Linked DNA regions of Cricetulus griseus. Each later gene encodes a partner of the first gene's protein in a complex. Links are inferred from orthologs where the notes say so. Each region holds a gene or a part of one and is shown on either strand. Other genes may lie near its edges. The genes, in order: Prkaa1, Prkab1 and Prkab2.

The links.
Region 2: the proteins of Prkaa1 (region 1) and Prkab1 are in contact, whole or in part, in a crystal structure (PDB 6C9H), measured with the Homo sapiens proteins. The link is inferred for Cricetulus griseus from reciprocal best matches to the Homo sapiens genes PRKAA1 and PRKAB1. Residues at the interface, in NP_006242.5 of Homo sapiens: Gly20, Val22, Lys23, Ile24, Thr32, Lys40, Lys42, Asn59, Arg60, Ile63, Arg64, Val69, Ile72, Arg73, Ile76, Gln77, Val93, Ser95, Thr96, Pro97, Ser98, Asp99, Ile100, Phe101, Met145, Met175, Ser176, Asp177, Gly178, Glu179; in NP_006244.2 of Homo sapiens: Pro79, Val81, Arg83, Leu103, Pro104, Thr106, Val113, Ile115, Asp159, Phe160, Glu161, Val162, Phe163, Ala165, Leu166, Met167, Val168, Asp169, Ser170, Gln171, Arg201, Ala202, Pro203, Pro204, Ile205, Leu206, Pro207, Pro208, His209, Leu210.
Region 3: the proteins of Prkaa1 (region 1) and Prkab2 are in contact, whole or in part, in a crystal structure (PDB 4RER), measured with the Homo sapiens proteins. The link is inferred for Cricetulus griseus from reciprocal best matches to the Homo sapiens genes PRKAA1 and PRKAB2. Residues at the interface, in NP_006242.5 of Homo sapiens: Gly20, Val22, Lys40, Lys42, Asn59, Arg60, Gln61, Lys62, Val69, Arg73, Val93, Ile94, Ser95, Thr96, Pro97, Ser98, Asp99, Ile100, Met145, Met175, Ser176, Asp177, Gly178, Glu179, Phe180, Arg199, Leu200, Ala202, Pro204, Glu205; in NP_005390.1 of Homo sapiens: Val80, Arg82, Ser84, Ser108, His109, Asp111, Ile115, Ser138, Asp159, Phe160, Glu161, Val162, Ala165, Leu166, Ser182, Ser184, Gly190, Gln191, Glu192, Met193, Tyr194, Ala195, Phe196, Glu199, Arg201, Lys203, Ser204, Pro205, Pro206, Ile207.

What each region holds. Positions count from the first base shown.
Region 1 is NC_048595.1:339,144,253-339,154,567, forward strand, and holds part of Prkaa1 (5'-AMP-activated protein kinase catalytic subunit alpha-1), read left to right. Parts: intron 1-274; coding exon 275-368; intron 369-4,210; coding exon 4,211-4,355; intron 4,356-5,432; coding exon 5,433-5,520; intron 5,521-8,807; coding exon 8,808-9,032; intron 9,033-10,315. UniProt on the Homo sapiens protein: Catalytic subunit of AMP-activated protein kinase (AMPK), an energy sensor protein kinase that plays a key role in regulating cellular energy metabolism.
Region 2 is NC_048597.1:96,092,903-96,103,217, reverse strand, and holds the end of Prkab1 (5'-AMP-activated protein kinase subunit beta-1), read left to right. Parts: intron 1-1,013; coding exon 1,014-1,177; intron 1,178-2,195; coding exon 2,196-2,289; intron 2,290-2,539; coding exon 2,540-2,654; intron 2,655-4,628; coding exon 4,629-4,762; intron 4,763-7,738; coding exon 7,739-7,807; intron 7,808-8,001; coding exon 8,002-8,079; 3' UTR 8,080-9,220; downstream 9,221-10,315. UniProt on the Homo sapiens protein: Non-catalytic subunit of AMP-activated protein kinase (AMPK), an energy sensor protein kinase that plays a key role in regulating cellular energy metabolism.
Region 3 is NW_023276806.1:58,808,323-58,818,637, forward strand, and holds part of Prkab2 (5'-AMP-activated protein kinase subunit beta-2), read right to left. Parts: intron 9,831-10,315; coding exon 9,664-9,830; intron 8,533-9,663; coding exon 8,439-8,532; intron 8,257-8,438; coding exon 8,136-8,256; intron 5,650-8,135; coding exon 5,516-5,649; intron 4,909-5,515; coding exon 4,840-4,908; intron 3,821-4,839; coding exon of another isoform or gene 3,784-3,820; intron 2,368-3,783; coding exon 2,290-2,367; 3' UTR 1-2,289. UniProt on the Homo sapiens protein: Non-catalytic subunit of AMP-activated protein kinase (AMPK), an energy sensor protein kinase that plays a key role in regulating cellular energy metabolism.

The DNA.
Region 1 (10,315 bases):
GCTAGGTTGTGCTCTGGCCTTCCTGGAGAACTCTGTACAGAAGAGATTTTGCTTCCTTTTCTCCATTGCATGCTCTGCACTACATAATTAATGCTTATTTACTGTCTGCTTCCTGGCCCCAGGATCAAGAGCAGCACAGAAACAGGACACTGGCTTTGTTCCCCACAGTCTTGTAGCTTCTAGCACAGTACCCGGTGTATTATAGGTGCTTAGTGACTATTGAATGGATGAATACACGTTTTAATATTAGTAGATAAATGTTTTCTCTCACCAGGTACCAGGTCATCAGTACACCATCTGATATTTTCATGGTGATGGAATATGTCTCAGGAGGAGAGCTATTTGATTATATCTGTAAAAATGGAAGGGTAAGCCATTCTCATTTAATCCTGTACATATTTTGTAACTCCCCTGTATCCCTTATTTGCATCAAAATGTCAGAAAGCAATTTTCAGAGGTCTGTTTAGTAGCCAGTTCCCTTAGTCATATTTGCTTAAACTTATAGGCTGCTTAGAGGTAGAAAGAAGGACCTCATTGATGGGCCCCTGAGCCCACTTATACAGACATAGATAATAAGTTATATATTTGTTCAAGGTCACATGACTTATTAGTGATAAGAGTTCACCTAAATCCCTAAAATGTATACTCTTCAGATTTATGTTTTTGGGTATACAAACCTTTTTCCTTTTTTTGAGACAGGCTCTTACTATGTCATCTTAGCTGGCCTGGAACTCAATCTGTAGATCAGACTAGCTTTTGATGCAAGGAGACCTCCCTGCTTCTGCCTCCCGAGTGCTGGGATTAAAGGCATGCTCAGCCTATGAATGCTGGGATTAAAAGTGCGCCTAGCCAAAACAAACCTTTTTTTTTTTTTTCCAAAAGAAAAGGTATTTTTATTTCAGTAAAAAACCATAATAATACAGTTGACTTCCTACTAAAAGCACTAATGAAGCACTCAGGCAAACATTCCTTAATATATTCTGAAGTTTGATACCAACAATCTATGATGCTCAGGTCCCCCCTGTATAATGGTTCACTATACAAAACTTTTTAATATGCAGCCAGGCATTGGTGGAGCAGGCCTTTTATCCCAGTACTCGGGAGGCAAGGGGATCTCTGTGAGTTTGAGGCCAGCCTGGTCTCCAGAGCGAGTGCTAGGATAGGCTCCAAAGCTACACAGAGAAACCCTGTCTTGAAAAACCAAAACAAAAAACAAAAAACAAAACAACAAAAACAAACTTTTTAATATGCATCTTAAACTTTATAAGTATCCCTTAAAATATATATATATTATTAAATACCAAAGATGTAGTAGGACTTGTTGTTAACCTGGCCATATTTAAGTTGCATCTGCTCTTTGGTCTGGACTCTGATGTACTTGGAACAGTAAGAACAGGCTTCATGGAGGGCTTAGGTGTTAGAGTCAAAGACTTTGGTGTTGGAAGGACTGTGGAGACATTTAAGTTATAGATATGAATACTGAGCACTGTCTCCTGCCCATACCCGGCCTTAGGTTATGGGATTTATACCTTCTAAAAGACCCACACCTGGCACTGAGAAAAGAACTTGGCCTGCTCTCAGTCTAAAGTTATGTGCGTTATCCATTCATTTGCTTTACATAGTGTTTCTCTTTAATCAGAATAATAACTTACTAACCAATTTAATCTTTACTTATTTCTCAACACGGTTAATTTCTACTTAAAGCATTCCCTTTCTCATCCTTCAAAGCCCCACTCCTGCCCCCTAGAGGAATTCTTCCTAAAATAACCACTGCCTTCTTTATCTTTTTTCTTCTGCTTGTCATTTCCAGTCATTTTGCACTACATTATGGGTTGTTTGTTAGTTTTATGTTTTAAATGCTGAATTTTCAGCTGTCCTGTTTCTGTATTTCAGATATCTGCCTTATTTTCTGAAATTTTTAGACAGCCTGCTTGTTTGACTTCCCCTTACCTGGTTGAGAAACACATTTTGGTTTTAATTGTCTTTAGATTTCTGCACTGTTCTGTTCTCGGTCCTGCTTATCCTCCCCACCCCCCTTTTTCCTGTTTTTCATAACTCTTCCTCAGATTTGGTGATTCTTGACTGTCCATGTAAATGTCAGAATGAAGTTCCAAATGCCAAGCTCATAGACATGTGAGACTTATTGGTTGGTGGCTTTTCCCATAAGTTGAGTTGTTATTTTGGGTAGGGTAAATCATTTGCTAACAATCATAAGTATTTTTCTTCTTCATTCGATTGGATATTTTCTATTTTGTTGACAGTAGTAGTTTAGCTGTTGGAACTGAGCTGGGAGTAGGGGTCAAGTCTCTTCTGTTAGTGTGCCAATTGTCACTTAGTGGGCATCTTCCCTACATTGCCCTGTTCCTGCTGTGGTGATTTCTTTCTCTAGACCTTGGTTTTGCTTCTCTCTTTGTGCTCAGTCTGTCTTCATCTGTTGTTCAAGCACTTCTCTTGAGGGCTGCTGCCTCTCGGTCTTTTTGTTTTATGGGCCCTGTGCATTGCTGATAACATCTAGTACTGTTACCACATACTCCATGTGATCTCATCAGCTGAAATGAGCATGGCTCTGTTCATCTTCCTTTAGTCTCTGCTATTCTTTGTACTGTATTTCTCTAAGTATAATACTTTTCATTTTGTAGTCTTTCTACTTATTTTACCTCTTATATTATTAGTTAATTCTTCTCATCCTCTTTCATACATTTTTTTTATAAACATCTACTGAAACAAATGAAGGCATTAGATTGCAAAAACATTAACATATTTTTCTTGAGGAAGGATGTCTTACACTTCAGTAGCTATTTTAATTTTGCATCCCAAGAAATGGTTTATCTTTGTCCCCACATTATCCATGCATTGAAGGTGTAGAATTCTGGATTTAGGATGCCCACTCATGACCTGCCAGAGGATTGCATATGAGAGTCCTTGCCTAGGGGATCTGTGGCTTATTTATTAAATGCACTGTCCTGGAGCAGATGTAAACCAGTAGTGGTTATTACTTGATGAGCATACATCAGAAAATATAGGGAAGATTTTTGAAGATTATTTTAAAAAGATTATATTTAAACATTTTAATTGTAGTGTAAGATTTTTTTAAACACACAAAAGGAAAAAGAATTAAGGGTTTTGTTTTGTTTAGATAAAAGCATCTTGGGCCTGAAGAGATGGCTCAGCAGTCATGAGGGTGTGCTGTTCTCTCAGAGGTCTGGAGTTTGGTTCTTAACACCCATGTTGGTGACTCACGACTGTCTCTTGACTCTAGATCCAGAGGCTCCAGTGTCCTTACAGTTCTGGCCTCTGTACACACACACACACACACACACACACACACACACACACACACACCCTTAAAAATACCTTAAATTTCAGAACACAGTCTATGGTTACTTTGTATTTAATTTACAGTGCTTTAAGTAGTAACCCCATCCCAACAGCACTTTCTGTATTCTTTTCCTTTCCTTTCATTCTTGGGCAGTTTCATCCATGTGAGTGTGCATTCTGTTTATTCTCACTCCTATGATCGCTTCTCTCTCCCACTCCTGTCACTCCCCTTCCTTCCTACAGGCCTCTTTCTTGCTTGCATGACTTTTTGTTTTGTTTGGCGATTGACCGAGTCTGACTAGGACTGTCGGTTTGACCATGGGTTTGCATCTGTCCATTGGAGCATGTTCTGTGTCACTCTGACCTTTTTCTCTCCACTGTTACACTGATGTGTTTTTGTTTTTTTTAACTGTTGAATTTTTGTCAACTAGAATAGGGCTTTCCTTTCATTCATTTCTGTATCATGAATGTCTAACCTGTATAGCATATTGAAAGTGTTCAATAAATATTTATTAAAAGAATAAAGGATTAAACATCACTAACTTAGAGCCAACAGCATGCCTAGTTTCAGGTAGATGTTGAAACTACTAGTCCTAGCCCATGAACTACAGAAGACGACAGGTTTTTTTAGTGCAGTCTGTGCAGGTGATAGCATCAGAAAGTTGAGCTGCTGATCTGGGTCCCCGTAACCTCCTGGCATTTCAGTTTAGTGTTCCAGTCAGTTTAGTGTTTGCCTGCATTTCTTCCCCATTTCAAAAGTACCTCATGGGTGACATTCACTTGGAAGGTTTCATGCTTTGGCAGTTTATAGGCTGGAGAATTATAAGTTTCCATTGAAACTTGTATTACTTAATATAGTACATAGCTTAAGATACTGCTCTACTTTTCCTAGTTGGATGAAAAGGAAAGTCGACGTCTGTTCCAGCAGATCCTTTCTGGTGTGGATTATTGTCACAGGCACATGGTGGTCCACAGGGACCTGAAACCTGAAAACGTCCTGCTTGATGCACACATGAATGCAAAGATAGCTGATTTCGGTAAGGACATTTTGACCTATTCCAGGAGTATACGTAGCCGCCTTCAGTTGTGTCTGTGGGTTATGCTGAGAATCCCATCTTGTAAATGAGCATGCAAAAGGGAAAAACACTGAGTTCCTCTCTTCAAAACTGAGTATAAAGAGATTTAATTATTTTGTGAACATGTACACATGCAGTCGCATGCCTGAGCACACACAAACCTCCCCCCCCCACACACACACATGTGTGCACACTTGGGCACACGCAGCACTCCCACACATGCATGTTTACATGTACCCAGAATCATATACAAATGGCAGAGGACATCTTTGGGGGTTGTTTCTGTTCTTCCACCATGGGGGTCTCACAGACTAAACTCAGGCTGTCAGGTTTGGTGGGAAGCACCTTTGTCTGCTGAGCCATCTTGCCAGCCATAAAATTCAGTTTTGTGATAGTAAATCTTTCAAATTGTCAACATTAGAGATTTGAAACAAAGTGACTTTATATCTAATATATTCTTTTGGTCAGGTATGGAGAAAATGGAAAGTAAGTGGGGTGGAATTATTGAAAAAATTGAAATCTAGAAAGAAAACTTTTAAATATTTAAATGCTTTAAAATTGAATTTCAGATATGGTCACACATGCCTCGAACCCTGTATCCCAGAGATGGAGGCTACATAGTAAGGCCCTCTTTCATGAAAGAAAAGAGAATAAAATACAGAGATTATAGGTTCCGGTGACCATTCTGGGCTTGGGTTTTGTTTTTATAGAACAGAGCAGGACTGGTAGAAATCTTTCTATCTCTCTGAGATTATTTTGCCTACCAATATCTATCTTGAAAGTTAAGCATTTCACATTTATTCTAGTAAACAAAGCCATCACTAGTTTAATACATACTCATTAAACTCTAGTTATAGAAACGAATTGTGCATTTTTGTATAAGGGTAGAACATTTAGGAGGTAAAGTCTGTGATCACATTGAAGCAAAGAAAAAATAAATGGTGGCTAATCTTGTTATCATAAACTTGGCTTTGTTGTAAAATGGACTTTCAGTTTTGTCCATGGGGAACCTTGAGTGGCCGTTGTTTGTCTTTTCAGGTCTTTCAAACATGATGTCAGATGGTGAATTTTTAAGAACAAGCTGTGGCTCACCCAATTACGCTGCACCGGAAGTAATTTCAGGAAGGTAGTGTTTGATAGTATGATACTTTTTATGTATTTGTAGTACTTATTTCTTTTTAGATTTTATTAGTCTATATTGTCACATTTAATACTAATGAAGGAAGAGAGAAATATTTTCTCACTTGCAAATTTTGCATTCTAAGAATAATATACAAGGAACAGGAGAGGTGGCTCTGTGGTTAAGAGCACTTACTGCTCTTCTAGAGGACTGGAGTTTGGGTCTCAGCACCCATATTTTGGGTGGCTTACAACTGGCTGTAACTTACCTCCAGGAGACCCAAAGCACGCTTTTGGTTTCTGCAAGCAGGTGCATGCATGTGTGTATACACCACAAACAGACAGACAGACAGACAGACAGACAGACACACACACATACACACACACACACACACACACACACACACACACACACACACACACACACACACACACACACACAAATAAAAATAAATTTTATAAAAAATGTAAGTGGATAAATTAGCAAATCCATTTATAGACAAAAATGTTGGTTTGCAAGTCATGTTAAAGTAGTTAGGATGAAGTACTTTAATTTTTTCCTTTGGTGGAAGAATTTAAAGCAAGTCAGTTGTAAAGGTAGATAGGTAAGTTGCTGAAAACCTGACTAGCAAACAACTTTCTCGAGAGAAATGGCTAACCTGACAAAAAATAAAAAATGAGCATTATAAGAGGTTCATGCTTGTAATTCTAGAGGTTGAGATTATTCGTTGATATCCAAGAAAAACAAAACAAACAAAACACCCAGGCAGAAAGCAAAACAGAGTTACAAGTATAATGTAATGTAAAGTTTCATAATTATTCAAATAGATGGCATCTGTGTAGTAGCTTCATATTTTATGAGGAAAGAAAGTGTCTTAGGAAATTGAATTAAAGAAGGTGGTCCTCCAGAATTGGAAGTCAGGCAGACGGGCTGGATGTAGTGAGCATTGCACATGTTTTGAGGTGGGACCATATACACGTAGACCCTGTATCAGGAAAAAGCGAGGTGGGGAAAGGGAGAGAGGGAGAAAGTCAGATTCACTTGCATTCAGTCTTGCTCTGGATCTGCTAGATACTGCAACATAAGAATGCTGATCTTGGCTGGGTGGTGGTGGCACACGTGTTTAATCCCAGAACTCAGAAGGCAGAGGTAGGCAGATCTGTGACTTTGAGGCCAGCCTGGTTTACAGAGCAAGTTCCAAGACAGCCAGGGCTACTCAGAGAAACCCTGTCTCAAAAAACCAATCAAACAAGAAAATTCATTTGTGTTTTCTATCTTAGTTCCTTTGGTATGAAAATATGCAAGACCTAGATACAGTGGTATATATAATTATATAAAAAGTGATGCATTATGAGCAGGCATACATAAAATGAGCTATTAGCGAAATCTGTCCAGTTTGCATAGTCAAAAATATGCAAGACCTAGATACAGTGGTATATATAATTATATTAAAAGTGATGCATTATGAGCAGGCATACATAAAATGAGCTATTAGCGAAATCTGTCCAGTTTGCATAGTCAGTCTTTGAGGTCTGGATGAATAGAAACACTTATTTTCAAAAAAGTTTTTATTGATATTGTAATAGTTTATTTTACATGTTTTCCCCCTAAAGCCAGACTCTGAATGCATGATTCAACTTTTTTGCAGTGAGTTAAGATACTCACTTGTCTCCAGCTCCCCAAACGTGGGTGTCAGTTGTGGGGTTTGGGCAGTCTTTGGGTGTCTCCAGCCCTTACCAGGTTTTGACCTGGGAGGAATGACAAACTCAGTGAGTTGGTCTTGAGTATAAGTTTTACTTCACACTTATGTCAAAGCAACACACAGCATAAACAAACAATCCTAAGAACCACAGACAATAGGCTCACAGCAGGGAGTACCTCTCCTGCAGTGGCCCTAGGTTTAGGGCTGGGACTTCCATTCCTCTGGATTCAGGACAGCGAGTCTCCTGAGGGCCTGGTGTGGAGTCTGGCTCAGAACCGGCAGCACTCAGCTTGATGGACTGGTTTGTCTTAGGTTAACGGAGGAGAGCTCCAGGACATAGAGTCGTGGTACACTCTAAAATTCCTAGTTCTGAGCTGGGCCTTAAATAATTCGCTAAATTGTGCTAATCACACTTTGCCACACTTCACACATTTTCACTCTTATCTACAGCGGCTGGGCTGCGTAGTGGGCCTATACTCCCTTTCCTTTAATCTTTCTTCAGCCAAGCCTTTGCCTGCCTGGTTGTAGCCTCTGTGCTAATCTCCAGCCAGGCCTTTGCCTGCCTGGTTACAAGGCTCCTTACAATGGGGCCGCTGGAAGTGAATGAACTGGCTTTTGGAGCCCATTCCCTTTGGAGGGATACCTTGTTCAGCCTAGATACAGGGGAGAGGGGCCTCGGTCCTGCCCCAAATGATGTGACAGACTTTGACCCTTCTGATTGGAAGGCTTCACCCTCTCTGGGAGTGGATGGCGGGTGGGATGGGGAGGTGGAGGGGCAAGAGGGAGGGTGGGAGGGAGAGGGAACTGGGATTGATATGTAAAATAAGATTGCATTTAAATAAAAAAGTTGTGTGTGTGTGTGGGGAGATACTTATCTCCAGAGTGCTTCAAGGAGAAGTTTAAAGTACTCTGTGAATTCCACTTACTTTGGCTTGCTCTACAGCCTCAAGCTCTTGAATTTTGATGTGAGGGTTTTAGGAGAAATGGGTGAAATGGGTTCAGAGTCAGGCACTACAGAATTGAATCTTGGTCCAGTGAGATGACTCAGCTGGGAAAGCGCTTCCTGCCAAGTGTGATGACCAGAGTTTGATCCCTGAAACTTACTTAAAGGTCGAAGGAGAGAACTGACTCCACAACTTGTCATTCACCTCCACACTCACTGTGGGTGTGCACAGATATACACATGGCACATACACATTTTACCGCATGCGCGCGTGTGCACACACACATGCGCACATGGAATAAAATTTATTTTAAAAAAGTATCTTATCTCCATGGCTCAAATTCAACATTGATCATGAGCCTTATTGGGTTTTATTGATAGGACCCTTTAAGGGTCATAGTAAGGCAGTAAAACAATTTTACCCATGGCTCAATATTGACAAAACACCATAACTTGTAAAAGGCAATACTGGTAACATTAACATCTTTATGTATGATGTGCAGCAGTTGCTATAAATACCATATTCTGATCACTCATTTCTTTGAAAATGATTTTCTTGTATTTATTCTTCATAAAATACTTGTATTTGAAGAATGTTGAGTAGTGCATTCGGCTGTTGTGATTAATGCAGCTGCCTTCCCTATTCAGATTGTATGCAGGCCCTGAGGTGGATATCTGGAGCAGTGGGGTCATTCTCTATGCCTTGTTATGTGGAACCCTCCCCTTTGATGATGACCACGTGCCAACTCTTTTTAAGAAGATATGCGATGGGATTTTCTATACCCCTCAGTATTTAAATCCCTCTGTGATCAGCCTTTTGAAGCATATGCTGCAGGTAGATCCCATGAAGAGGGCCACAATAAAAGACATCAGGTAACTTTAAACCAGTGTACTTTTCTACCTCTTTGAGTCTCAAGATAAAATTTCATTTTATTAATGACGTATTTTTTTTCTAGCAGTACACTTTGAGTCATAGGAAATTGAGTTTTATAGATAATGTTGCATTGTGTGTGGTTGAACCTCATAGTTTACGTAAGGCGGAACTGATGGTGGCAGATATACGTTTCTCAAGTTGAGGTGAGCCATTTCTCATGAACACTCAGAGTACCTAATGGAGTCTTTGTTCTGCCATCAATGTTGTCTTATCCCCCTCCCTTTTTGTTCTCCTTAATTCTTTGAGATTCTGATGGCTAGACTGTACATTTTTCTGGTACTGGAGGAAGGAAGGAAGGAAGGAAGGATAGAAGGAAGGAAGAGAAGGAAGGGAGGGAGGGAGGGAGGGAGGGAGGGAGGGAGGGAGGGAGGGAAAAAGAAAGAAAGAAATGAAGGAAGGAAAACTGTATGCCTGTAGGAGTTAATAAATAAGAAAGCCTTGGGGTAACCAGGAAGAGCGGGAAGAGACTAACATGTGAATTTAAGCTTTATTCCTTTCCACTTACCCCTCATGCTAAAAGTCCTGCTGAAGCTAGGCAGTGGTGACATACACCTTTAATCCCAGTACTCGGGAAGTAGAGGCAGTTGGAACTCTGTGAGTTCAAGGCCAGCCTGGTCTACAGAGTTTGTTCAAGACAGCCAGGGCTATATAGAGAGACCCTGCCTGCTGAAAAGGAGATCCCAAGTGGCAGGGCATGGCTTTAGCTCCCAGATGGGAAGGGAAACTGGTTCTATTAAATTGATGTTGTAAAATATCCAAGTGAGAAGTAGATTTGCATGTTTTAGGTATTTTTTTCATAATTAAAATCTGATAGAAATGCTACGCATGGTGGCACACAGCCATAATTCCAGTACTTGGGAAGCTGAAGGAGGATGGCAGTGAGTTTGATTCCAGCCTGGTCTACATGGTGAGATTCTGTCTCAAGACCAGTCTCCATTTGGAAACAAACAAATGCCCTTAAAATTACAAAACAAAACAAAACAAAACAAAAACAAGAGAATAAAATAATACTTTTGGTCAGTTTCTTAGACAATAACCATTATTCTTTGGGGTATTTTCTTCTGTGTTTTGGTGTTGTTTTCATTTTCATTTTTGTTTTTTAAGTTTTAGCATAGTTCTTGATATGGTTCAATATCCATTTATATGTGCAGTTAAATGATATAATAGGGAATCATTCAGAGAATAGCCTTTTGAGTCATACAGAATTGGGTCATGAGGATGA
Region 2 (10,315 bases), on another chromosome or scaffold:
CTCCACTGAGCTGAGATTGTCCCCACGCCTAGAAGTAATTTTGGCCCAAGGCTATTTAAGAGGAAGTAAGTATTTGTTGTGGCAGGTGTGTAGTCAGTGTGCCCTCTGCTCTCTTTGCCAGGAGCTGAGTAAACTTTCTTTTTAAGAAGGGATGGGTGTTGTTGCTGGAGACACAGGATCTGGGAGGGGAGATTTAAGTAACATTCCTTTGAATTGGCTGCCCAGTCAAGTCAGAAATTCTTCCTGTTACCCCAGTTCAGCTTTGTGGCTACAGTTAGTGGTCACTCAAAAGCACTGGTTCTGAACCTGTGGGTCACAACCCCTTTGGCAAAACTCTATGTACAAAAGAATATATTTACATTATGATTCATAACAGTAGGAAAATTACAGTTATGAAGTAACAAATAAAATAATTTTATAGTTGGGGATCACCACAACTGGAGGAACTGTGTTAAAGGGTGGGAACAGGAAAGTTGAGAACCGCTGCTCTAAAACTGTTGCTGCTCTAAAACTGTTGATCTGTAGCACAGATCCAAAGACTGAAGACATCTTAGATAAGAGCAGATCCTGTCTGCAAGTGAAGGCAGTAGGACCTTCCCTGAGCTCCCTTTGGGGCCTTTTCCCATCCTAGAAATCTAGTCTTTGGTTTTTCTTCTGTCTGAAGAGCTGTGTTTCACCCCAGGGCTGGATGTGTCCCTTTCTCTCATGTTAATAAACTCACCTTGGATTCATGGCAATCTTTTTCCAAGTAAGCCTTACAGCTTCCTCTAGAATTTTTGTGAAGTCTAATGGCAGTGATGGTAGCTAACGATTAAGCACTGACTGTGTGTCAGACCAGTCTTCACAAACTGACAGAAGTGGTTATTTTTATTATCTCCATTTTGCAGGCAGGGGAACAGATGTAAGTCGTAGTAAGTGGCAAGAGCTGCCTGACTAGAGCGTTTTGTCGCTCTTAGATAGCAGTCCTATGTGAGGAGGTTGCCTGACCCTGAGTAAATGGCTCTGCTTCTTAGGCTCCAGAGAAGGAGGAATTCCTGGCCTGGCAGCATGATCTTGAAGTGAATGATAAAGCCCCCGCCCAGGCTCGGCCAACTGTGTTTCGATGGACAGGGGGTGGAAAAGAGGTCTACTTGTCTGGATCCTTCAACAACTGGAGCAAGCTTCCACTCACAAGGAGGTAATGGGCTGGGACTCCAGTTCTCTTGTTGCTTTAGCTGTGTATATATTCTTGTTTCTAAAAGATCTCTGTGGCTGAATAGCATAAAGGATATTTTTGTAAGATGTTGAGTGAAAAAATATTTTGTTTAATGAGTTACAGAGTTCAGATCTCAAACCCTAGACGTCACTGTTTTTAAGTGCATGTTTTTTAAAAGACAACAGTATGTCAGTGGAGAATATTTCTGAGCCACACTCCGACACTCAGCTACACATTTCTTGAAAAAGTTGTTCCTGGTGCAATGGAGAGAGTGCTGGGCTGGGAACCTCAGAGGTGTAGATCTGAGTCCTTACTACCTGCACTAAATAGTCACTCTGTAAGGGACTATCGGCCCTCCCTTTCTTGCTCTTGGAAGGTTGGAAGGTACCTGCTCTGATGACATTAGCAAGGATATACTGAGAGACTTCCTCAAAAACCCAATGTGGATTCTGTCTCAAGAGCTCACCAGAGGCCACTTCTGGTAAATAAATGAAGGGAAAAACAGCACCCTGCTGTGCCATGCCTGGTGGTTGTCAGAGCCCCTGTTTTCCCATGGTTAACATTGAAGGAGGCAACCACTGGGCCCAGTTGCCTCGAGTTAGTTCAGGTCAGGCCAAGAAACAACAAGTTTATATATATGTGTGTGTGCCCTGTTACACTGGTCATCTCCCTGTTCAAGGAAAACTGACAAAGGGAAAGCTAGGCGGCTGCGTCTGTCTTTGTGGGCCCCCTTCCTGGCACCTAGGCTGCAGATTGAAAAGCATGAATTAACCATTTGTTGACTTTTCAGTGTTAGGATCCTAGGTTCCCAGTGTCTGAGCAAAGGGAGTTTTCTGGAAACCCTTGCCTCCTGCTTTATTAAGTGGCTTTCCTAGGTTGTGACCAAGAATTGTCTGAACTGGCTGAACATGTCTGCTCTCCTGCAACCGAACCCTTGGTTGTACCTGGAGTCAGAGGGCAGCCCTCTGAGCTGAAACACTTGCTTCCTCTCTTTCTTCAGCCAAAATAACTTTGTCGCCATCCTGGATCTGCCCGAAGGAGAGCATCAGTACAAATTCTTTGTGGATGGTCAGTGGACGCACGATCCTTCTGAGGTACTCTTCCTGCTGCCCCCGGCCCTCTGGTGCCCACATAGCTAACACCAACCACTTCCCCTGTGACTTCTGTCAGGTGCCTCTCCCTTCATGTGGCTCCGAGTTAGATAGCAGCAGTTGCCAGGCCATTGGTATAATTGACCAAGCGTAGCTAGCCAGGTGGTGAGACCATCCAGCCAGGAATTCTAGTCCTCTGAAAAACTCCACAGACCTTCCATGTTATGATTTCTGCCTGTCTGTCTCTTCCCAGCCAATAGTAACCAGCCAGCTTGGCACAGTTAACAACATCATTCAAGTGAAGAAAACTGACTTTGAAGTATTTGATGCTTTAATGGTGGATTCCCAAAAGTGCTCCGATGTGTCTGGTATGAACAGTTACTTTATCCCACATGTGTGCAGGCTGGGGCTGTGCAGCCTGGACATACATACTCTGTTTCCCTTGCCTCTCACACTTGAGCAAGAGCTGCCCGACCAGGTGGACGGTTGTAGCTCTCTGGGCCACAGAAGTTCATTTCTAATTCTGTCAGCTCTGGCTGTTGGCGTTTAACCCCAAAAAGTCACTGCCCCGTCTTGTGGGCTATTCTATAGTTCCACTTGGCTATAGGAACAGAACCAAACTTGATATTATGCCCCAGGTGAGGCTGAAGAGGCCCTAGAAGACACTTGGGTCAGTAATGAGCTAGCACCAGGGAAGCTGCCAGCTCACTTCCCACTCTAGTGCCTGGAGAATTGCAGGCTGACAGGTGATAAACGACACCTCAATGACCTTGGCTGTCATTTGTGCAATCCATTAGCACCTTGTCAGGCTTCTGAGAGAAAGTGGCTGCCTATAGAAAACAGACTGCATAACACAACTCTCCTTTCTGGAAGCCAGTTCTGCTTGGTCCTGGTAAACAATCTTATACCCATGGAGCTTTCAGGTGACTGCGGTCCACCCACACCCAATAGGAAGAGACCACCTGGAATGTCACAGGGAGTTATTGCAGATGGCGGCAGCAGCTGCAGTTTCTCCTCTTGTATGCAGAGGCTGCTTCCTGGGCCCTATGGGAGACAGTAAAATGAGTCTTGAGAAAACAGATTCTGTTCCGTTTACAGATTTCCCACCATCTCCTGGGTGGGTCTGGAGGTTCTGTTTCTGGGATCTCTCACTATTTGTTTGTGACACCACAGCTGTAAAGTGACTGGTGGGCTTCACTGGCTGTGGCTAACAGGTCAGGTTGTGGATCTGGGTTAGAAATCTAAAACCAGTGCTTTTTTGTTGGGATCACTGGCTGTCCCCATATGACCAGTCACATGTTTCCAAATAGGCATGGAGGCAGTGTGCACACTACTCCCACTGGCTGACATGGAACTTGATTTGCACACTGAAGCATGCTGTCTCTGCTGCTGAGCCCTCTCCAGCTCTAATGCCTAATACCGTGTGCTTACTCCTCATGGCTCCGTTTCCTGAATGCTTTTCTCAGTGTTTCTGCTGTAATGTGTGGTTGGATCATGTAAGGGGAACATGACCTAGAAAATGATGTTGAGAAAGTTGGCAGTTCTGGACCAGCTTAAGGATCAGGTGACCAGAACCCATCCTGATGTTTGGATAATGGCTCAGTACCTCAGCCAGCCAGATGTCACTTTGAGCTGTTTCTGACACGCACTTTCAGAGACTTCCTACTGTGCCTATATAGTTAAGATACCCCGACCTGTCTGGGTGGTGGTGGTGCAACCCGAGTCCCAGCACTCGGGAGGCAGAGGTAGGCAGATCTCTGTGGGTTCCAGGCTAGCCTGGTCTGGTCTACAGAGTGAGTTCCAGGACAGGCTCCAAAGAAACCCTGTCTCAAAAAACCAAAAAAATAAAAAAAGGAATCCCAGACCTGAGAGTGTGGAGCCAAAGAGCCTCTACTTACTTATTTTTGATATGCCAGTACCTCATTAAACCTATTTTATTCTGCCTGGTAGAGCTTGTAGCTTAGGCTAGGCCACTTTTCCCTATTTTGAGCCTTGAACTTGTGGCGTTTGTCAAACCCAGCCTAAAGTAAGAAGGAAGCCTTTCTTCTGACAGGTGAGGTTAGGTCATTAGGAATGGCCCCCCGCTAGTGTGACCCAGACTGTCTTTTCATTGGAGCATCTCAGTTTGCCATTGAGAGAAATGAGCACCCAAATTCCAAAGGTGTTCTTTTTTTGTTTTTTTTAAATCTCTCTGTTCTTCCTTTTTGGAGCTTGAGTGTCTTTGAAGAAAATACAGATCTGTATTGAAGGAACACGGACAGAAAGCTAGATGATGATACCATAATCAAATGCAACTCCCAGAGCTTATGGTCTCAGCATGTTTTGTTACCATCTCCCAACAGAGCTGTCCAGCTCCCCTCCAGGACCTTACCATCAGGAGCCTTACATCTCTAAACCAGAAGAGCGGTTCAAAGCCCCACCCATCCTCCCTCCACACCTGCTGCAGGTCATCCTGAACAAGGACACGGGCATTTCTGTGAGTACTTTGTCCAGATCTCCTTCGTGGTCATGTTCATCTGTTTTCTTTTCTGCCCACTTCTTACGAAGAGCTCTTCTTACAAAGAGCTCATGTGTTTTCCATTGTTGGGAACTGCCATGGTCCTCTGACACTGAGAACATAAGCCACTGGTGAAAGGTTGACACCCGTTATATTTAAATTTCATGAGAAAATATTTAACCACCTCTTCTTGGTCAGCTAGATCCTGGAATTCCTCCTTCAGCCATAGCATTTTAGAATTGAATTTTAATTACCAAGTGTTTCGGAAATATCGGTCCTCCTGGGTCAGAATTTGAGCTATCTTAACACATTTCCTCTGAAAAACTGTGCAGTGGCCTGCAGAAGGGAAACATGGAGCCTGGCCCTTTAGCAGCCAGCTGTTTCTAACAATGCCCTCAAGATGACTGACCCACTCTCAGGGTGCCTACACTAGAACATGCTCCAGTCTCACTACCCATCCCCAGCAGTCACTGGGGATTAAGTTTCCAGTACATGAAGTTTAGGGGACACAGTCAAACCGTAGCAGGTGCTAAAATAACCACGCCACTTGACCCTCCACCCAGAAGTAAACTCCACATGGCAGTGAAATCAACATGACTTTGAGGTGGCTTCCCTCAGAGAAGTCACTGCTGGGCCACCAGGGCAGTTTAAAGACTCCCCTTTCTTAGGCACGGAGAGTCCAAGTACAGAACAGCTGGTGTGGTCATCTTTGTGTATCCAGGAGAGGCTGCTGGGCAGAACCAGCAAACTTCAGACTGACCCTGTGTCCAGTGCTAAGTTGGCAACACCTCAAACGTGCAGCCAGTGGGGTCTTCAGGGACCTTTAGCCGCTGTCCTGGAAGATTTGGGTGAGACTTGCTCCCCTCCCTCTTCTAAAACAGTTCAGAGGTTGGAAGACATTCAGCACCCTCCACAGCTAGGAAGGCAAGGGAGACATGACTAGGGATAACCCGTGCCAGGCCTCCTCTGACACAGGCAACCCTGGGCTCTAACAGACCTGTTTCCAGTTAGGGAATTGTTCTCCATGTGGTCTTATTTAAGCTTCATGGTAAAGAGGCTGAGGTACAGAGACAAATGTTGAGTGGCATCCCAAAGAGAGCGCTGAGCTCACTGTCTTGGAGGGTTTGAGAAATCTAGCACATTGTTGTGTGATCCACCTGCTCTTGCAATTGTTTCTCATATCCAGAGAGATTCTGTACCTTTTGACCAGTATCTTTCCTGTAACTATTGCTCTGTCTCCTATTTTGCACATATGGTTTTGTCTTCCTGTGCCTGGCTTATTTAATGTCCACAGAATTCATCCATATTGTTACAAATGACAGAATCTCCTTCCTTCTTAAGACTGAGCCACACATCATTGTTGCAGTTTCTTTTCCTGTTGCTGTAATAAAATATTTGACAAAAGCAATTTAAGAGAGAAAGGGTATATTTGGATTTGTAGTTCAGGGTTTAGTTTATCCTAACAGGGAAAACAGCAGTGGGAGTTTAAGGGAGGTGGTCTCATTGCATCCATACTCATCCATAATAAATGCGCCGTGTCCCATCCAGGAAATGCTGTTGAGGTGGCAGTTAATACTGCCACCTCATTTGAAATCCACTTATCCATGGTTTGTTGTTCCACATCTTGGCTATTGTGAATAGTGCTGCAGTGAACATGGGAGTATTGATGTCTCTCCAGATTTCATTTCCTTTGGATGCACTCATGCATTGCATGCACAGACTCATGGGTTGTGTGTGTCTAACTTAAAGGATCATACATAATGTTTTCCATATATGATACCGATTGATGGCTTATTAACAGCACAGAGTAATCTTAGTGGTTTTTAACCACACACAGAAAATGATGAGTATGTTACTGATCCAGTGTAGGAATTCCACAGAACTTGCATGTCCCAAGCATGATGTGCTCAAAGTATTAGTTAACTTTTAAAAAACGGCAGATTAACTGTAGTTCTTGGAAACCTCCCAGCAGCAGTTGACTGAAGCAGCATTTAGCTGAGGCTCTCGTTCTCCTCCTGCCAGGCCTGCCCAGCAGGGGCTCTCAGGGAATGTGTGACAGAGCTGTTAGCCTCTGAGATGCTCAGCCTGACTGGAGGACAAGTGCAGTGCTGGGAAGCTCGGCTGCCAGGGCAGGGCTAGGACTAAGACCTGGCTTCCCAGCTCCTCCACCTCCACCCACCCCTTCCCCAAACCACAATGTACTCTTCTGTCCCCAGACTCTGTCTAACTGCTGCAGCTCATTAGGATGCAGCCTGCCCCTCCCAAGTCCACACTCAGAGCCCTCAAGATGACCGAGAACAGCATGGCGAAGGCCGTCCAGCTTCGTTTTGGAAGGCCTGGTCACACCTCCTCAGTTCTTGCCTTCACCCTTCTGGGATTCCTGGATTGTTGAATGATGTGAACACACCCTTCCCTTGAGACCTTGACTTTGAGCCACCACAGACTAATTGCCTATAGTTAGTTAGTTAGTTAGTTTGTTTGTTTGTTTGTTTGTTTGTTTTTCAGTGCATTTTCTTTAAAGTTGGGAATGTGCTATCTGGCCTCTTGAGGTGGAAAGGTGTGGCAAGGCATAGTCCATGTGTTCACTTCCAGAGTCACCTACTGTTATCTGCTTCATTACGATTTTCCCATCTGCTTCTCAGGGCCATTTAGTGCACAGCATATCTTGTGTTCCATGAAAGCATTTCAGTGGGTCCTTGGTCTTCTACCTCTTCTGTGTAAGGATGGGGCTGGGCAAGCTTGACCAGAGTATTCCATTGTGTTCTGGTACATGGTAGTTCCAACCTTCTCAACTCAACTGCTGTCTCCACAGCCCTTCTACTGCCCAGCTTGGGAAGACAGGTCAAGCTGAGAGCCAGTCTGCTCTTTGGCTGCCTGGCCTGTGCCATGAAGTAAGGGAAGAAAATCGTCTTGACTTCAAGTCTTATTTGCTTATGTCTCCCTTTGTTCCCTCAGTGTGATCCAGCGCTGCTTCCAGAGCCCAACCACGTCATGCTGAACCACCTGTATGCACTCTCCATCAAGGTAATGACTTGTCTGGCCTTACAGTACTTTATGAGCATGTGCTCTGAGGACCCATCATGCCAGGATTGGGGTGTGACAGGCCCTGGCTCAGGCTCTGCCCAGGAGTTTCTGTTTTCCTTAAGTTGTGGTGATTCTCACGTTCTCTGAAGTTGGAGTACCTGACTGTCCTGTCTTGGTCATCTCCACCCTCATAGGACGGAGTGATGGTGCTTAGTGCAACCCACCGGTACAAGAAGAAGTATGTCACCACCCTCCTCTATAAGCCCATCTGAGATGCTAAGAGCCAGCCGTGGACCACAGGGACAGCAGGCAGCACTGGGCTCTCCACGTGCATGTAGACCCTACTTCACTCTCTGGGACATCTTACCCCTCCCTAGTCCTCCTTGAAGGTTTGTCCAGGCACAGCCTCTAGAAGAGTCCAGAAATGGGATGGGATGGCTGCCTGCAGTCCCAGAACTGCAGTGCATGAGGCTAGTGTACTCCAGACATCATCCCCTCAACTGGCCAGAGATGTCTAAAGCCAGACCTGAATGCTGGCACCTTGCTAGTAAAAACTGGGGAGCAGGGACTGAAGCCACACAAAAGTCTTCATCGTCTGCATCCAAGGTTGATGGCCTGTCCCTGCTGAAGCCTGGCCATGGATGTAAGCAATATTCAATCTTGCCTGTCCTTCCAAATCAAAGCAGTAGATTGTAGAATCTATGGGAACTCAGATGTCTGATTTCCAGATGCAGCTTTGCAATTGTTGCCCGACACTGTGTGCACTAAGGACCTTTTATAACTACAGTGGCTGGCTCTCCAGTCCTACCTAAGGCAATAAGTCACCCGGATGAGACTGTAGATCATGTGACTACACTCAGCAATAATTGTTCTCAACACAAACTTCAAAACCCACTGCCGTATTCTCCATTAAACTGAATGATCCTGAGGACTGGCCATCATGGGAGGTTGTTCACGCTTTCCTTCAACTGTAATGGTGACAGTGTTTCCATGACACCTTTGTCAAAGCACTCACCCTCCTTTCAGTTCCAGCATGTGCTATTTAGCTGGGGACCCATGTCTCTAATGAGCAAAGGATGTCACAGTGATTGCTATTGCTTGTTCTAGAAGAACTTGAACCCCTACAGCAGCCTGCTATATTCCCAGCAGGACGATGCCCTAGGGATTAGTGTGAATGACACTCATCTTGGTTTCCATAGTGATACCACAGATGTGCCCATTGGTTATAGGTTCCTGTCACCTGTCAGCAGAAGTTACCATTATATCCTTCGTTCTTGCCAGAGAGGTGAGAACAAGCTCAGTGATGTCCAGTATTTGGCTAACCTGAGTTTGGGTACCATCTGTTACTGTTTTCAAAACACTGAATTGCTGTCATCTTGATGTGTAAGTTTCAATAAAGATTTGTAAAACTAACCAGAGGAAGTTGAGATTCTATTCATTTTTTTTTCCCCCAGAAAAAATGAGAACTTCCAGGTCTGCTCGGTGCTGCCTTGTAGCACTCTAGTGAATGGACAAGACAGTGTAACGTCAGCTCCTTAGGAAATCTAGAAACCCATGCCTGAGGCCAGAGACCAGGGCATTTTAGAGGACAAGGTTCCTGGAACATGAGCACAATTTCACATTCACACTTACACCGTGGCTCATCTGCTGTGGTCTGACTGTCCCATCCAAAGCTCATTTGTCTGCACTGTAGTTTAAAAGGTGCTTTTTAAGATGTTGGGTCATGAGAGCCAACCCCCCAACCCTCATGAGGTAGGCCTTACAACAGGGCTTCTTGAAGTTTTTGGCTAGTTTACCTTCATGACTTCCACCATGTGAGGACAAAGCCTTCTGCCCCTGTACAGCAGCCCTGGCCAGGTGACCACATTTAAGCATCTTGTCTCAGACTTTCCAGAAGTACAAGAAATAAATCTGTTCTTTATAAATGACACCGTCTCAGGTGCAATTTACTATAGCAGCACTACACAGAAACATCCACCCATAGCCGGGCAGTGGTGGCACATGCCTTTAATCCCAGCACTTGGGAGGCGGAGGCAGAGGCAGGCAGATCTCTGTGAGTTCAAGACAGCCTGGTCTACAAGAGCTAGTTTCAGGATAGAAACCCTGACTCTTAAAAAAAAAAAAAAAAAAAATCCACCCATGTTAACAGTCTGAAGGATGTGATAAAGGCCCATTGAGTTAAAGCTGCTTCACATGGGTCTCCAGCACTTGTACCCAGCAGATTAATAGACAAACAGAAACTTGAGCCTTTGCCTTTGAGTTCGAGTCTTTAAGAGAAAGCAAGGAAGTCATGAATATGTCTGTATTTCTTGTAAAGCCCATCCACCATCTCAGATAATTGTAGGAATCATGCAGTCTTCTTGATACCTCTGAGTTCAAACCTCAGAGGGGATCCTACAAGCTGAAGCCTCGTCTGTGGGGCCCAGCTACTGTCTCTGGGATGCACATCAGTAGGCTAGCCCTTACTGTTGCCACACCCACACCCCAAAGGGAATTCATCTGTCCCAC
Region 3 (10,315 bases), on another chromosome or scaffold:
ACAAACTGTCCCTTAAAGTAATCAATAGAAAAGCAGTAACCTCCTCTGCTTACTTCACCATTGTTTTCTGGTGACAGTGACAGAGCTCCCCAGGGCCAAGTACCATAAGGACAGAGGCAGTGCTGGAGTCACCAGCCAGCCCCCCTCACCCCACTCCTTCCACACCAGATAGAATTTCAAGTTTGGCTGGGATAACTTTAGAACTAGGGACTGTCATTCCAGATGAGAAAGATCTGAATGAAGGTCACCAGTACCCAAACCCTCTTGTCCCCACTGCCACACCTGATTCACAGAGTCTCAGCCGGAGAATGAAGACAGTTTCCCTACTCTTCTATTGCTACACCTGTGTGGAGTAAAAGTTTAATCGACGAACACACAGATGATTCCAGCTCATATGTTAGCAAGTGCAGATACAACAGAAGCCACTGTGTAACAATGAGACCCTAAATCCTCCTCCATGGCCCAACTTCTAAATGGGCACTGGGAAAACAAAACAAAACCCAACAGCCTTTCAGTAGAACTGAAGAGCCGCTAAGTTGGTTATGATAGGATTAGACCTTAGTTTCCAAAATGGCACGCTATCCAGAAATTCAATTGCACAATAAAGGTTCTCTACAAGAGAGGAGGGGAAAGTGGCTTGGGATGGCCGAAGCAGTACTCACCCCACCAATTACCTACCAAGGCATTCAACAAATCTGTATTCCCTGTGAAACATCCCCACACCTTCCTGCTTCACACTTGTGATCAGAGAGGTCTCAGGATCCCAAGAGGACGGTTGCGCCAATGTGGAAAGTCAGGAGGTAGCTAAAAACTGACCTGCAGGTCCCTCTCAATGTGGCTGGCTCATCTTAGCAGACATGAAGTGTCTCAACCATGAACGACACTAAATGCTTGGCTTGCATTTATCTGTAAAACGGAAGTGTCAAGATACTTGAAGAAAATATTTTCTTTGAATCCTGAGTGGGTTAAATACTATTCAGTCAGTGGTAACTAGTGACCCACTCCACAGTCAAACATTTAAAAGAAAGAGGCAAGAAAAAAAGCATCTTGTTAATACTTGGTGCAAAGAGCAAAACAGTGCGTGGTTATGAACACAGGGGTAGTTAAAGTTCCTCACCTTACACATCTTTAAGGGGGAATCTAGAATGTGCATCTATGAACTGCATGAACTCAGGTCTAAAGGAGAGGTTGGGTAATGAATGAGGTACACATGGCTGCCATAATAACCCAAGACTATAGGACTCCCTAGACTGGAGAAGAACCTCTTAAGAACCGCTGGTCAAAAGCCTGAGCATCTTTAATAGCTGTTAAAACTGATGGATTTTTTTTTAATTAAAGAAAAAAGGTAGGCATATAAAACTCTTTCAGGGATGAAAGATATGGAAGGCTCCCTAATTCTACATGACAAACTGTCTGCTCTGATGAAGAACAGCTGGAAACAGGGCCAAGCCTGGCGGAAGCCCGTTAGCATGTGCCATACAGTCAATCAATATACAGGGCCAAACTAAAACACAAAGATAGGCATTTCTCTTAATACTGAGCCACTGCTTTTGTTTAGACATCAAAACAAGTTGTAATAAAGTGTGTTGAGCCCGTGCTGGGCTAAAAAGGAGACCTCCAGTCTCCAAGGTGAGTCTAATCCCACACAACTTTTCAAGAGGGTTTCTCACCTTACTGGGTCATGTGTGAGATCTGAGGGAAACTATTAAACAGGGTACATAAAGTGAGGGTTCTTTGTGGGGCATCTAGTGTCATATAAAAACACGGTAGATTGTGTCACATACCATGAAACACAGAATCAATCCATGCAAGGAAAGCCACCCTCCAACGAGGCAGCTGGAGTAGGGCAGCAGCCTGGCACACTGCTGACCCTCTGACACCAGGGAACAGTGGCAGAACCTCTGCCTGACAAGGATCCTAGGAGTTTGCTATTCTTTCATTTTAGGAAAAGAAGCTTCTGTATACTCATTCCTGCAGCCGCAGCCTCCCTCTCAGGCCCTGGCAACTACCCACAGGCAGAGAACCTAGACAGCTGGGCTAGGAGGCTTCCAGTAACCTTCCCCTCATATGCATATATATGGTTTTGTTTTTCTTAAAATAAACTCCATGAACTCATAAAGCTCTCATCTGCAATCAAATGCAAAAGCAGAGCCCCCTACTCAGAGGCTCTGAAACACACAGATCAACCTCAACACAAATCAGCCTTCCAGCCTCAGAGGAGACCGGGTCAGTTCAAAGGCAAGGGAGACGCTTCTCCAGAATCCTTGGAGGCAAGGAGTGATGTCCTCTTCAAATGGGCTTATAGAGCAGCGTGGTGACATACTTCTTCTTGTAGCGATGGGTTGCACTAAGGACCATCACACTGTCCTGCAGGGGAGAAAAGCACATACAGCTAGTTCGTTAATTTGTGTGGCTGCTGGGTCTTACCAGCCATCAGTCTTCCACAGACACTCACTGTCTTGCTAAAATACTCCAATAAAAGCCATTTAATGGAGGGAAGGGTTACTTTGGCTCACAGCTCTGGGCTGTAGTCCATTATACCAGGGAAGCCAAGGCATCAGGAAGCTGAAGCAGTTGACACATTGCACATTTGTTAAGCATACTTTCTCCCACTTTATCCAGCCGAGGACACCCTGCCCAGGGAATGGTCTGCCCACAGTTAAGATGGGTCTTCCTATACCAATTAATGTATTCAATATAATTCCCCATAGGTATACTCAGACTCACACCTCAGGTTGTTGTAAATTTTTTCAACACAATTTTTCAACACTAACCAACACATTTACTTCTCAAGAGGCAGTCTGAAATAAAAGAGGCTGGCTTGGCTGTCAAATCTTACTCAGTTCCAGTCCAGTCTCCGGTTGTCGTGGTATCGGTTGGCAGCCTTGAGGAGTCTATATATGGTCTCTATGTCCCACCGCCCCCTTTAAAACTTCTTCATACAAAGGATAATAGCTACCCTTAAAGGGGTTCTGATTACAAGATCAGATGAAGTATCTGATACATAAAAGGCCATGAAGAAATACTATTTTACAGTTTTATCATTCCCCTTCTCATTTCAAATTACAATATTAGGCCTATGCCTAGCAAGGAAAAAAAGTGCTATCAACCATTCCCAGAACAAAATATTAAATGCAGTAAAAGGGAAATGATCCTTCTCAATGCTCATTCCTAAGGCCTGAAGCAGGTCCAATTGCCACTTAACGTCAAAGATGAACTGTGTGACTCAGAGAGCACTGTTGGAGTTCCTATCTAACCTTAAAAGTACAGCAGCTTCCTGAGACAGCCCATCTGACAGGTCAATTCCAAATGGCCAAACAAGCTGAGAACCCAAGTGGAGCTGAAGAGGCAGCCCCGTCCCTTGTATCACAGCCCCGTCCCTTGTATCACACAGGCACCAACTTTCAGGATGTATGAGAGCATGGTTTGCAACAGAAGAGATGACCAGGGACACCAACTGACAGCTACAGAGCAGTCACAGGAGGAAAAACTCAACCAGATCTCAAAGAACCCCAAAAGTCCAACATAGAGACCAGTGCAGCTAGCTGTCTTCCTTTACCCTGCATTACCTACAATGACGGTGTCCAGGACTAAGACTCTGGCTGGACTGTGCTGAGACAGACTGACAAGGTGGGAGCAGGCAGGGAAACTCAGCTCCACGAGAGCTGCAGATTTGGAGCAGGTGAAAGACAAGCATCTGGGAGAAGACCTTCATGGTAACAGACAGGAAAGAGCAGGGGGTGGGGGTTAAGAGGACTGAATCTCAGTCTGTCTTATACTTACTGGCAATCTGACCTTCTCTGAGTCTTAGTTTCTTTATCTACAAAACAGGGGTTAAAAATAATACTTCTCAAGGTTACTATGAAAATGAAGTTCAGTACATTAAAATTTTATAGACACCCACACACTCTATTAAAGGCAGCTCTATCAGTGGCCTCCCTGTTCTGTTCTCACCGCACATCTAAGCAACCTGAGCAGCTTCCAGAGAAATGGCTGGGGGTCCCCTAGGTGCCTGCATATACTCAGACTCAGGAAGGATACCTCTCAATCTGTTGCTCACCAACTGCTCCAAGGAGTTCCCTCAAGGACCGGCTTAGCCAGCCACAGAACTACATACCTTTATGCTAACATTCAAGCCACAAAGATACTAAAGCAACAGAGAAACTAAGGACTCTAGGGAAAGGGTGGGAAAAACATAGACGTCTGGTAAAACCAACTCCCTATCTACTATACAAGCGATAGAAACGTGTGGTATACACAAGCAGGGCATCTCATTGCAGCTGATTCCATATCTTAGGAAGCTCTACTGTCTTACTCAAGAACTTGTTGAAGGAAGCTATACCTGATTTTCTGCACATGGAATCCAACTACCTGAACTCCAACTTAAGTAAACAGGTGGTACAAAGGTTCCAGCCACCCACAGACACTGGGAAGCAGAAAGGTCCCCATCACTGACAGTTCAGCTAGCTTGAGCCCAGAACCAAAAACAAATAATTTGTTTGATGGGTGGTGGTGTGCACACCTTTAATCCCAGCACTTGGGAGGCAGAGTCAGGTGAATCTCAGTGAGTTCAAGGCCAGCCTGGTCTACAAAGCAAGTTCCAGGACAGCTAGAGCTATTACACAGAGAAACCCTGTCTGAGGGGTGGGGGAAGCTTCAAAGGAGACTGAAGTTTAAAATCAAACAGCCTTGAGGTATGAAAAGACGGCTCTTCTGTAACTTGACTGTCAGTGTCAACTGCAGCTTTAAAAGCCGCAGAAAGCAAGTTACCACCGAAAAGCATGTGTGACTCTTACCCTTCCACTCGGGAGGCTGTGGAGCGTCGCGGCCACCACTTACCTTAATGGACAGCGCATAGAGATGGTTCAGCATAACATGATTGGGTTCAGGAAGTAAGGCTGGGTCACACTAGGAGAAAAAACAGCCCCACCCCCCACAAATGTGATTAAATGCAGACAAAACCAAGTTAACTGTTCCTTTGAACTGTTAAGAACTCTAAATAGGTAACACTTTGTCTCCTATGAATTATGTATTCCCACATCATAAAATCTGGAAAAATCCTAAATCTAAGAGTGAAATGCTAAGCCCCAACATCTGCTAACTTTCCTTAATAGAATTAAAACAAAAACCTTGCTGACAGGTATAGATGGTTTGGGAATCAACCATCAATTAAGTAAAATAGAGATAAAATTTACTTACATAAAAAGTTGTGAATTCTGTATAACCCCTAGTGAGAGTACCCTTATCTTGTGATAGACTAGAAGTCATAGTAGACATTAATTCCAGCATAGTTTGGTTCTGATTTTACTAGAAACAGAAACAACTATAAATTCCGCTATTGGTACCTAAAGTTCAGTCTTGGAAAAAGTATTCTACAGTGCTGCTGACATGCACATGGCTTATTTCATTGCCTTGACAAAGCTGGGTCCTAATTCCAGCCCCAAGATTCCTGAAGTTTGGCCTCAATGGTCCTAAGATTCCCCAGACGCTTTAGCAACCTGCTCAGGATACTCACTGAAATATTAGTGTCCTTGTTAAGAATAACTTGGAGTAGGTGAGGGGGCAGAATGGGTGGGGATTTGAATCTCTCCTCAGATCGAAACACATACATTTCTTGACCATAAGGCCCTGGGGGTGAGCTGGATAGGTCTGAAAAATATTCATGCAAACGTGAAGGAAAGTTGAAGGGTTAGTAATAACGCATGAGGAAAACTATCAACACAGCCATTAATCTTAAATGTAATATAGGTCCTGAAGCAACGGACTTGTGACCTACTGGCCTGTAACTGTAAGCGAGCAAAGGAAATGTCTGAGTTGTCCTGAACATGGACCAGGAAGATTCCCAACAAGGCAACATGATGTAAGGAAGTGATGAGAGGCCAGCACCTAGGCTCCAGGAAACCAACTCCATTTGTCAGCGATATGTCCTTGGACAGATCCCTTTAATATGGTCAGTTTCCTCATCCTCAAGATAAAAATCTTCCCAAGTCATAGTGCTTTTGAAAAAAATCAAAGTGATAGTAGAAATAAAGATGCTCTGTGAACTCAATGTGAAAAGATTAGATTTCATTTTATTTCTACCAAAGTAACAGACAACAACGTTATACACTCTAAGTCTACAATGATTACAGCAGACAGAACACACTGTAGCTGTAGTCAAGGAAGTGTAGATGTAAGCCACAAAAAATACCACTTCATACTCAGTGGGATGGCTGCCGCTGAAATGGCAAGTACTGGGAAACACTGGCAAATACTGTGGCTTCAAACTACAGTATTTCCACCACTGGTAGAAATGAACAATAGTGCAACCACTTTGGAAAACAGTATAGTCATCCTCAAACAGTGAAACTTTGTGACCCAGTAATTACAATATTGGGTTTATCACCTAAGATAAAACATAAGCTACCCCCCCCAAAAAAAAAAATCTGACCATGAGTGTTCTTAAGCAAAATTTGTAAGAGCTCCAAGCAGAAAACAAATGTCTGTCGACAAGGGATGGACAACCAAGAAGGAACTGTCATACCGTGGACTTCTATTCAGCCACAAACAAGCAAAGTACTGATACATGTTTCAACAAGGATGAAAGCCCCAGAAGCCTGCTAAATGAAAGAAGCCACATGGTGCATGGTTACATTTGTATGAACTGTCCAGAACAGGCAAATGCATATGGCAGAAGCTTTGTGACTGACACAGGGCAGAGAGGAGAAAGAGATGGGTTTTAAAATTCAATAATCAAAAAAATAAATAAATAAAAGGATAAATTTTACAATTAAAAAATATGTGTTTTATGGTACCGGAATTCTACTTAAAAAATGAAAAGCATTCAGGTTAAATTTACAAAAATTAAATGAACTATGTTTTCTTTGTTTCACAATTTTAAAGTTCCAAAGAAAAGATTTTAGTAAGTCTATTTTAATAACTCAAATTTGCTTCAACATATAAGGCAAAAGGAAAGAAGTAGCAACAACATTGTATTAAATATCCACAAACACCATTGGTAAATAACACAGGACAATTTTCAAGTGCTGTCCATGGCACTAAAAAATCCAAGTAGGACATTGAAAAGTTATGTACATGCCTACACCCATTATCTGTATATTCCTAATAAATGGATTCTATGCCTTACATCACTGGATTAGGAAACTGGGTGAACCCGAAAGTGTTTTAGTCTTCCCATTACATAATTATGATTGACTGTCAAATATTCTTTGGTTACTTTGCAGATCATAATATAATCATAGTCCTAGTGGCCTCAGAATATAAACCTTTTAAGATCACCACCCCTCCAGCCAATAAGAATGCTCACCATAACTTTCTGAGTTTATATAATGAAACATTTTTTTTTTCTAAATTGGTAGTTACTGTGCTATGGACAATTTGTCCCTTGTCCTTGAGATTCTGCTATGTGCTCTACTTCAGACAATATGACAGAGGCTCACTGAGGGTCCAAGCCCTCAATTTTACTGCTGGGAGTCAGTTGCACGATGGCATAACAAGTAGCAGAGGCAGACTTTGTATGCAAGAGGCCATATGCTCAGTGCAGAAAGTGTGCAATTCTCCAGGCAGGCACAACTCCATCATACAGTAATGAGATAGTAACTATGGATATGGTTTGCAAAACGTGCCTCTGCTACTACAGCGAACAAGCACAGCTATAAAGACTTTGGGGAAAGTGGTATTACACCAAACAAAAATAAACAGGACTTTCACCCTGTATATTCAACTCCATGGAGAACAGCTATTGGTTTGTTTTTTTCTCTCTTTTCTCTTTTTCCCTCAGCAACAATTACACTTGTAGGCTCTCCTAAAACCATAATTGTCAGCTGAGCTCTCAAACTAGCTGATTCAGGTTAGGAAGACGTAGCCAGCCTTTACAGGTAATATTACCAGATGCTAATGGAAAAGTGTGAAATCTTACTGGAAACAGCTTTCAAAACCACAGGCTATGGGTGGGTTATATAAAAGCAAAATGGAAAACAGTGTATCCAAGTAAGAAAGGCAGACATTATACCAAGGGATTTGTGTTAAAGTGGGGTGTGTAGATGGTGTGATTATAAGATTCCTGATAAAACAAGAAACCACTTTGGGAAAGAAATATGCATTGTAAGAAAGAGAAAGCAATAGTGCAAAATTACCTCGACAAGATGTCTCAGAGCTTTCCATGGAATCTAACTTTAAAGCATCGAATACTTCAAAATCAGATTTCTTGACATGGATCAAATTATTAATTGTGCCAAGCTGACTGGTAACCACAGGCTGAAACAGTGAATAAAAAAAAAAAAAAATGATTGGATTCCCTTTTCAAATCCATCTTCTTCACCCAACCTCCACTCTACTTTTAGGAAAAATCTCTACTAGAGAGGGCTGTTGCCTACTGAATCAGAGGGCAGTAAGTCATAGTGAGGCCACTGAGGCTTCCCTGCAAATCAAGGCCTTACCTCTGATGGATCATGAACCCACTGTCCATCCACAAAGAACTTGTACTGGTGCTCTCCCTCTGGAAGATCCAGGATGGCAACAAAGTCATTATGACTAGGGAAGAAAACAGAAGGTCAAACTGGCCAAGTTCTTTAAAGAAGACAGAATGGAGAAAAGGGCAATGATGGCACCATCACAATCACCTTCCACATTCCTATGCTATACAGCCCTTGTGCCCCAACCCCCTGCAAAGTATAAATCCATCCTCTTTTTCTGTATCACTCAAGCCATGTACCTGTCAACCTCTCCCAATAACTTTATTCTTAACTAATCTGTGTGCGTGCTTGCACCAGGGTGTGGGTGTGAAGTGTGGGGTGTGGGGTGTGGGGTATGGGTGTAGGGTGTGGGGTGGTGTTGGGGTTGGGGTCAGAGGATTGATTGCCAAAATATTTTCTCTTAGTAAACTATTTTGTTTCAGCAGAACAGAACCTTGGGGCTGGGGAGATGGGCTCAGCCAGGAAGAGTGCCCGAGAGCTTGAGGACCTGAGTTTGAATCCTCAGTAGCCACATCAAAAGCTGGGCATGGCTACACATGCTTGTAACTCCAGCACTGGGGAGTAGAGAAAGCAGACCCAGAGAAACTGCTGCCAGTAAAGCTAGCTGAAATGGAGAAAATCTGGTTCAGTGAGTTTGTCTCAAGGTTAGAAGTCATAGAGGAAGATACTCAGGTCTTGCTGTGGCCTCCACATGTATATACATGGGCATACCTGACTGAATGTACATGTATGCACATATACATGTACACACACACACACACACACACACACACACACACACACACACACACACACACAGAGCAGAGCCCTCACAAGTATAAATAAGGTAAAAGGTAATATTTCAGGGTACTCTTTTCATATTTTGGTGAGCCTTTTCTCGAAAATAACCTATTATATAAAAGGTCACTCTGACAACCACATAAATCATTCACTACTGCTTTGCCAGCAATGAACTGGCATATACTTACAATATCATAATGCATTTTGCTTTAATACAGAAATCAAAGCAATGGGAATTTGCTAGTTGCAGACTTCCTCTGGACAAGAAATGGCTTGAGAAGCACAGTCCTGAAGAAATGCACCCATAATGCTGTTAGAGACTCCCCAGAGGCCTACTCTCTCCCCTGAGAAAGGGAATCAGGTGTCTACTCCTGCACTCTATAGATGCAGCGGAGACGCGTGTCCTCACCTCTTAATCAGTGGAATCTTGGTGCTCCAATTGTTGAAGGACCCAGAGATGAAGACCTCCTTGCCCCCTTCAGACCAACGGATAACAGTAGGCCGGGCCTGCTGGGTGGGCTTCACAGAATCATCCAAGTCCTGCTGCCAGGGTACAAACTCTTTTTCCCCGGGGAGCTGTAAGAAGGAGTAGGTCATCCCTAGAATAAATTATGACCCAAGGTTTTTTAAGAGGTAAGTTTCCCTGGGGTATTAAAGGTTCTAGGTTTCAACTAAAGATAGCAACCCTAATTCTAGCAATTAAATCAAGAGTTTTAACAAACTACAGAAAAGAACTAATATAGGGTCCAAAATGGTCAAATGGCTTATATCCTAGCATAGCCTAAATCACAACCTACTGCCCAGTGTGCGCATATCATTTTCTTTGCAGAACTTCTCTGGATCACCCCTCAAACAAACAAACAAAACCCTCCAAACCCTTCCTCCAGTCTCATTTGTGTGTAGCCAATTAAGATACACTTCTGACGGTCTCTTTTTTTTTTTTTTTTTTTTTTTTTTTTTTGGTTTTTCGAGACAGGGTTTCTCTGTGTAGCTTTGGAGCCTATCCTGGCACTCGCTCTGGAGACCAGGCTGGCCTCAAACTCACAGAGATCTGCCTGCCT